2 linked regions of the Solanum lycopersicum genome follow. The protein of the gene in region 1 binds, or shares a complex with, the protein of each later gene. Links are inferred from orthologs where the notes say so. Each region holds a gene or a part of one and is shown on either strand. Other genes may lie near its edges.

Evidence for each region. Proteins that work in one complex are often made in the same cells at the same time.
Region 2: protein TIC 22, chloroplastic (region 1) and protein TIC 20-v, chloroplastic share a complex: the UniProt entries of both Arabidopsis thaliana proteins name them as parts of the tic complex. The link is inferred for Solanum lycopersicum from reciprocal best matches to the Arabidopsis thaliana genes Tic22-IV and Tic20-V.

The regions. Positions count from the first base shown.
Region 1 is NC_090803.1:65,447,501-65,452,567, reverse strand, and holds the start of protein TIC 22, chloroplastic, read left to right. Parts: upstream 1-1,872; 5' UTR 1,873-1,985; coding exon 1,986-2,423; intron 2,424-2,805; coding exon 2,806-2,868; intron 2,869-3,874; coding exon 3,875-3,949; intron 3,950-4,467; coding exon 4,468-4,518; intron 4,519-4,707; coding exon 4,708-4,767; intron 4,768-4,875; coding exon 4,876-4,941; intron 4,942-5,067. UniProt on the Arabidopsis thaliana protein: Involved in protein precursor import into chloroplasts. Imported into the intermembrane space via the Toc translocon. May be involved in the import pathway used by proteins without a cleavable N-terminal pre-sequence.
Region 2 is NC_090811.1:6,212,120-6,215,508, reverse strand, and holds protein TIC 20-v, chloroplastic, read right to left. Parts: upstream 1,645-3,389; 5' UTR 1,569-1,644; coding exon 975-1,568; 3' UTR 758-974; downstream 1-757. UniProt on the Arabidopsis thaliana protein: May be involved in protein precursor import into chloroplasts. Not redundant with TIC20-I, TIC20-II or TIC20-IV.

The sequences.
Region 1 (5,067 bases):
TGGTACAATTAGATATATTAGGAGTACGAAAAATTAATGAATTGAATAATTTTGCACAATACATAAATATGTCCTTTAATTTGGCTTCAAATCACATTTATGTCTTTCAACTTTGGGTGTGCACAAGTAGACACTTAAACTTATATAAAGTTGAACAAATAGACACACATGTCCTACATGTCATTTTTTGTCCAACGTGGTGTCCTACATGTATTTTGCCATGTAGGACTCATGTGTTTTAAAAAAATTTGATAGTTAAAGTGTATGTTTGTGCATAATGAAAGTTGAAGGTCAAAGTTAAAATTTGAAGCCAAGTTTAGAATCCAATGTATGTATTATGCCAATAATATTTAAAGAATAATTTGTTTGTTTACAAAAATACCCTCCATCATTTAAAATAGAAAATAGTTTGAAGAACATCTATTATTCCACTCTCGAAATAACTTTTCATGATACTATTAATTATTATTATTCTTGCTATTATAATCAAATAATGGATAAGAATAATTAAACGATCTCTAATGATCGTTTTGGTAGTTGGTTAGAGTTATGCATTGATATCTATTAGTAATGTAGTGATTATTTATGAATTAGTCGATCCATTATTTTATGCAGATATGAGTTATTCGTGTATTAGTTATCCATAAGACATACATTAGATTATTAGAATTAATTATTCCACTTTCTATTATGCATTAAATAATAAATAGATTTCATCATAAGTTATACATGTATTAATTGTGCAGATTTCTTAACTGTCAACTAAACATTGTATTAATTTTGTACATGTATAATTTATTTTCTATGATTTTATCCACCTACTAAACATGTATAAGTTGTACAAAAATTAATATGAGTAACTTGTTTCTCATCCAGCTTCCAATCACTTATATACATGTAATTATTTTCATTATTTGTGTCTATGTAAACATAATTTGACATGAGATTGAAGTCTCAGTCTAATAGTTACAAGTAACAACTTTAACTTGCATGTAAATGCCAAGTCTAAAAACAATATGCGTACGAATATATGTTTTTCAGGTCATTAGAAACTTTTTATGTACTATCGAACAATAATTTGGTGAATATAAAATGGAGGTTATTTGAGTTAATAAGCTTTGATTATTTTTTTATTGTTGCATCTTTGTGGTTTATACTAGGTCTTACTCCAACTAAATAACTTATGAAACAATGCAGATAAGAAATTAATTGTGTCAACTTTGTACTATACAAGTTACATGAAAATTAATTGAGAAGTCATCCCTATATTTAATTACTTTATGGAGAATCGAAAAGGATCAAATTTGTTTTTGAACTATGCAATTAAAACAAATTTGTCATTCATTACTATGAAGGTCAAATATGTCCTTGTCGTTACTAAAATGGGCTAAATTTGCCCTCGTTACCCCTCCTATTCTATTTTACAAGCACGTAGTAATAAACAAAGATCTCAAAAGTTTATTTTTTAATGAAAAAACACCACACTTGGCTTCAAGTTGCTTGATCTTGCATTTGATGTTTGTGAACAAAACGACCAGATATGTTCAAATTTGACCTCAATTGGCAAGTTAACACTTTAACTTTGAGTATGCACATCTAGATACTTCGACTCATCTTTAGCGTCCAGCTTTGTAAGTAATCATCTAGACACCTCTAAAATTTACATGTCACATCAGCATCAAGTGTCCACGGAAAATAGAGGGGTTGTTAGTTGAGATCAAATTGAGTTCAATAGATATTTTTACTTAATAGTTGAGATCAAGTTTGAGTGTGCCTATTTATATCTTATGCCGATATTCTTTATATAATATTTGTATATAAACTAGACAAACGAGACTATTATATATTGTGATTTGTGATGGATGGGCCTTTAGTAGATGGATTAGTAATAATAATAATTGGACCTAATGTGAACCGAAAGCCCAAACTTGAAATACGAAAGCCTTCTTCTCCGAATCCTCTTCCCCTTTCTCTGTAAACAATCAATGGAGTCCAAACCCTCAAGCGGATTCGGACCCTCCAGTAGTCCTCTACTGTCTCTCTCCACCTTCGTCCACCAGCACTGCTCCCGACTCGGTGCTGAACTCGCTAACCGATTCGACGAAGCGAAACGGCTGAGTTCTAAAATCGCCGCCGATTTTATGCAGCAGCCGCTGCCAGCGGCGATAGGGAGGAGTTGTTCGTTGCCGTTGCATTCTTATCATCTATCTCTTCCGTTCGCTTCGGTGTCGCAGCGTCAAGAGAAGGTCGCTAAAAATACCGGTTTGAGCTCGGATTATGTTGCTAAGACATTAACTGGAACTTCTGTATACACAGTTAGCAATTCTAACAATGAATTCGTGCTCATTTCGGACCCGAATAGTGCGAAGTCAATCGGATTATTGTGCTTCCGTCAAGAGGACGCCGAGGCATTTCTTGCTCAGGTGAACTTCATTTTTTAAAATGAATTTATCGAATTTTTTCTCTATAGAAGAGAGTGAAAGGAGAGATGAACTCCTTTATCAAAGTAGGGTAGCAGGAAGGGGAAAAGATATGTATAAATTAGCCCAAAAGAGAAAACTAAGTTAAAGATGATTGCTTTAAAAGAAATTATTGGGTAATTATCATTGGAACATTGCCTTCAAAGGTCAAATTATTTATTTTTGGGATGTATTGAACCTGAATATAGTGGAATTGATACATAAGATAGCAGATACAGAAGACATAATGTGGACCTTATTAGTTTGCAATTGAGGCGTTGTTATAGAAGTTTTGATATACATGGAAGGCTTGTTTGTGGAGAAATGAACACGTGAAGATTTTCAGGTACGGTTGCGGAAGAAGGAAGTGAGAGGTGGAGCTAAGGTAGTTCCGTTGACACTTGATCAGGTGAATTTTTGTTTCCTTTTGCTAGGAATTTTTCTTTTAAGGATGTATCTGCTTTGGTGATTATTTTCTTCTTTCCTTTTAAAAGTTTGTACATTCATTTGAAAAGAATTGCAAACTTTAGGAGTGACATTAGATTACTCTATGGAGAAGGCCATTTTCTTGTTTTAAGGATTGAACTTTAGCAAAATTTTAGTACCATGAAAGTGTCTGGTAATAGATATGGTATTTGTGATGGACAGTTTTGTCTCTAGTGCTTATCAAGATTGGTTGGTGGAAAGTCAGAAGCTACTGATGATCGACTTGTGTGTATATGTACAATCTATTTCTTTGCATATATTGATAACTTCTTCTTGCAAGAATGGGTATAAACTTTGATGGTTATTGAATCGTCCCTTATTAGTTAAAGAAGTGTTGGATTCAAATACAGCAGAATGGAGATACCGATCCTAACTTGTTTAGATTGACACATAGTTGATTGATTGAATCAAAACAGAGCATGCATGGTATTTAGCATAAGCAATGGAGTCTTTTCAAACGCACCCCTTGAGATAAGGCTCGATTAGATTACCTGACCATCTCAGGTTAAGATTAATTTACTGAGCCATTTTCCTTTACCATTCCTTTTAGTGATTTCTTCTCTTTTACATCATTAAGATAAATTGTATGCATTATTGATACATTTTGTATCTCTTGTTCATCCATAAAAAAGGGGATCCTATCGTGCTCCTTTTGAGCCTCAGACGTCTGATCTGTCCCGTTTAATATATCTTCTTCTGCTATTAAATTAAAAAGAAAAAATTGAAGCTTAACTTAAGAATGAAAGACATTTTTGTCTCTATTTAACAGGTCCAGTGTACATTAAATAATCTACTGCAACTAGTTGCAGTTGTCTGTATGTGCAAGAATTTCTGTTTTTTGCTTTTCCATTTCTTCCTAAAGGTGTTGCCAGGCACTTGTCCCGTATTTTGAATAGTTACACGTCTTTCTTGTTGGTATCACTTTGCAGGTTTACATGTTGAAGGTTGAAGGAATCGCATTTCGTTTTTTGCCAGATCCTGTTCAAATTAAGAATGCAATGGAGGTAGTTACCCATGTTGGTCATCCTTAAGTTTTGTGTCTGGGATCCTTGTAATTTCCACTGAATGTAGTAGAATTGCACAAGGACGCCTGTTCAGTTGTGCAAGTGAAAGTTATACTGTATATGTATATTCATCTACCTGTGATAGTTTTACGTGAAAGTACACTGGCATGTAGCTTTAACTAATGACCAGATTCCAGAGGTGGTAGAATTGCTTGCAACCCATCAATTTTTGAGGTCCACTGACATACCCTTGTTTTTTCTTCTCTTTACTGTTAATTCAAATATTTCCAAAATGGAGGTCTTTTCGAGATTTGAACTTGGGTTACTGACATGCCTGGTATGTAGGCTCTTGCTCACTAGTCTAGTAAATGAAGCATAGATTATTAATGGCTTGACCTCCATTGCCACCCAACTTCTGTCTCCTCCTCCTGGAAATATCTATTTGGCTAAACATAATATTTCAATGCATGCTTATTAAAAAAATCTGTTCATCTCAACATTGTCTTTTCCTGTGACAGTTAAAAGCTTCTGATGTAAAGACTGGATTTGATGGAGTCCCTGTTTTCCAGGTAGCATATAAACTTTTTTGCCAACTGTATGCAAAAAAACTCTAACATTACATGCTCAGCCTGTGTATTTTTTGAATTATGAGCCTTCACTCACTGGAAAGCTTTTGCTAAATATTTTGTATATCAGAGAGTGGACTGCTGAATATGGTTAAACTCCGCTTAATTCTGTAGCTTTTTGTTCTTGTGCAGTCAGATCTCCTAGTTGTGAAAAAGAGAAACAGACGATACTGTCCAATATACTTTCGAAAGGTATGTTGGTTTTTAATATCTTGAACTGGAACTAGTCAGAAGAAACAAAAAATTAGATATAGTTATTATTCGTGATGGTTTTCATTGAATTCCTTTTCGGGTATACAGGAGGATATAGAAAAGGAGTTATCATCAAGGGCATTGAGAGGATCTAGTGTCTCTCAGCACATTATGGTATCATAATCACTTTTATCTTTCTGTTTTCTTTCTGATAGGGCGTGCAAATAGATTAAGAATGGTCAAACATGCTAAGAGGTGAATATATGATGTCTCTGAGAACTTACTTTTAGTAAGTGTTTT
Region 2 (3,389 bases), on another chromosome or scaffold:
GCAGCTATTAAGAGCATTATTTCTTCCGTCCTAGTTTTAGCTTATTGTTTTTCTGTCCAAGGGTAAACTACTTTTAAAATTACTATACAACAAATGGAAGAGGTACTGGCAGAGAGGCATACTAGCATTTTACATAAAGAAGGTGTATACTAGATGCCAATACCTTTACGTAAATCATCAAAGTCTCTGTAATTAGCGAAAGCTCTAGGTTGGGGTGGAGGACATTATCCGAATTGTCTCAAAGAATAACATCAAAACCTGATACCTAACTTCCGTGTATCTCTGCATACTTGCCCTTTTCAAGATAATACAAAACGAGACCCTTACTTAAAATCATGATACAACTGGCTACTAGGATCATGAATTTCTTCCTTAAACACCAACATACCGATGATGTAACATGTTACCTCATCCAAAAACCAAAAAAAAGAATGGTGATGTAACTAACATGTTACCTAGAAATAGGGATTGAACTATCTTCATATCAAAAAATGACAGAACTTGTAGATAATATCACCACCTTTGTGGCACTCAATGGCAAGCCATCAAAGTCCATGAAGCTGGAACGAAACTACACAACACGAAAGTGCAAATCTATGCAGAGGCAATAAGATCTTCTATTTGCCTAAGTTGTAGTGGGCAGAGTCACTTGGAACAATTCCAGTTAAGATATTCCATGAAATAGTTGAGGTGTACGCCAGGACATTACGGTTATAAAAAAGAAATACCTCTATATATTTTTGTTAATGCAGATACATAGAAAAAAAGTAGTTACTTGATTAAAGAAACCGAAATGCCATTACAAGAATATACATATCCACATTAAGAAACAGCAAAATGATATGCATGAACAAGGCTCTAAAGAGCATAAACATTTACTTTCGGAACGAAATAGATATTAATTGTCAGCTAAAGCAAAACATAATTAAGTGTACAAAGAGGATGAAACCTCATAAACAAGTAAAATTACGAGTTCATAGCACTTGCCTATCAGCAGCTTCAGCAACAATAGGCAATCTAGGTAGCTGACCCAACAAGCAAGACGAAGTACCATAAACCAAAGATACCAAAAGAAACAAAAACACAGTACTATCAAAGCTCATCATCAAATCCAACCCAAACCCATCACTTGGATTGAAACTCCTCTCCAACAAATCAGGAAAAATGAGAAGCACATCAAGAACAATAGCTTGCATAGTGTTGAACCTGACATATCTACTAAAATTAGGATTTCTTACAACAATAAAGTAGAGTGTAAAGAAAACCAACAACCCGTTAAGCGGAAAGCTCTTAAAAACCCTTATAGCTGGTACTAAAGGTTGAATAAGTGTTTGTATTGGAGCAAACTGTGTGATTACATATTTACCGTACTGAACACCATCAAAGAAAGGGTAGAAGTAAGTTATGGCGGAGATTAAACGATCTGGACCATCTACTGAGTCGTCGTTCTTAGATTGAGCTCGAATTGTTGGCCTTTTAGGGTTTCTGAGTTTTGTTGAGGGTTTCAGTAGAAGAAATGGCGAGTGTTTGAGTGTAATGGTGGTGGATAAAAGATTGGTGATGGCCATTGTTGAGGATGGCCAAAGATATTTGTTTTGGGGGGGAGAAAGAATGAAAAAGGGGAAATTGGATTAGGTCAGCAGTCAATTGAAAATCCTGATGGAATTGCGGGTCGGGCTACATTGATACCATTTGAATATCCATAATTCCATATCCATTTTGGAGGAAAAATGTCTACGGGTCAAATACATACGCAAGTCTTTAAAGTTGTTCGTGTTTTTCCCAGTTACCTCAACTAATCTAGATTCCTATTGAATCTTTTAACCCCCTATAATTTGATCTTTTTAAATATTCTTGGCTAATGTGGAGCCAAACGTGATCTCACGTCCTTTAAGCGTGTGCAGACGCTTTAAAAGCGCTGATGTGGATCTTGAACCATCCACCAACGATTTTCTTCCCCCTTTTAATCCTAATTTCTCCCATTCTTCCCTTATTTCTCCTCTTTTGTTTCTCTTCATCATTATTTCTCCTCTTTAGCTCATTATATTATATCTCTTTTTCATTGATTTCTTTTTAATCATCAAGTTTCAATGTCAAATTTATCTACTTCATCGATTTCTTCTTCTTTAACTGCGAAAGTACTATGTCAATATGGGAACGTTGTGAAAATGAAGATCTCATGGACGCAATCCAATCCTGGACGTATATTCCTTTGTTGCAAAACTTCAAAGGTAAATCAAATTCACTTTTTTTTGTCCAATATAGTAAAGAATCACCTTATTTATAATTCAATTTTTTTCTTTAATTTTGTAGGCACGAGGTGGATGTGGATATTTTCGATGGTATGATGATGAAATGCCTGCTCAAGCTAGGAGGGTGATATGGGGTTTGTCGAAAATAGTCAAAACATATGAATTGGAGAGGAATCGATCAAGAAAAATATGGATGATATGCATTATCGTAGGGATGATATTGGCTACTTGGATTTGTGTAACAAAATGATCTTAGTTGGTTCATTTGTCTTCAATTAGATTCCTTCATAAAAGTATGTATGGTAGATTGTAGAGTTCTTTGTGGACAATTTTGATCGATTTTTCTATTGTAAATGCCTTGTGTTTTTATTGTAATGATTTAATTGAAGGAGTGTAGATAATTTATGCCTCAAAAGCAGTAAAAATTGATCATTCATGCCATTAATTTGCTCTAGTGAGCTTCAAGTTTCAAGCAGTCAATACAAATTTCTGCTGCTAATTACACAACCAAAAAGTGATTTTTCTACATAAATTAGGCATTCTTTGGTGCACTAGATGTTCCACGCTTGTTTTTTCTTGAATAAGTGATTTGTTTCAACTGTGAACCAGTGACAGCATCTCCACCATTCCACTTGAGTCCTCGAGGCTTATAACCAATATCAATATTTGTTGGAGCTGCATCCTTATAAACTCTCAAATTGATAATTTTTTCTCCTGAAGTACCAGCTGCATAGAAATATCTTAAAATGAGACTTTATATAGTAGAGTAAGAAATGAACAAAATTATGTATACACTTTCAAATACCATACCAAGCTCAAAAATTGCTACAACACAATCAGGATCAAATCTTACCTTTTTACTTTTTCTTCTACTTGGTAAATCAACACTCTTAACAAATTCTGGATCCAATTCATTCCTATTGTCTTTACTGTTCAATTCTGAGCTATCTATATATTGCTTCACCCCTAATCTTCCAGTGTATCTAGCAGCCTTATTCCTTCCCATGTCTTCAAAGCCTCTATTAATACCAGTTGTTCCAAGCTTTATTTCCTCAGTTTGAATAGGTTTTTATTTTTTCACTTTGTTTCTCCTTTCATTTCTAAGAGATCTTACTTCTTCATCAACCTCAGAGTCAT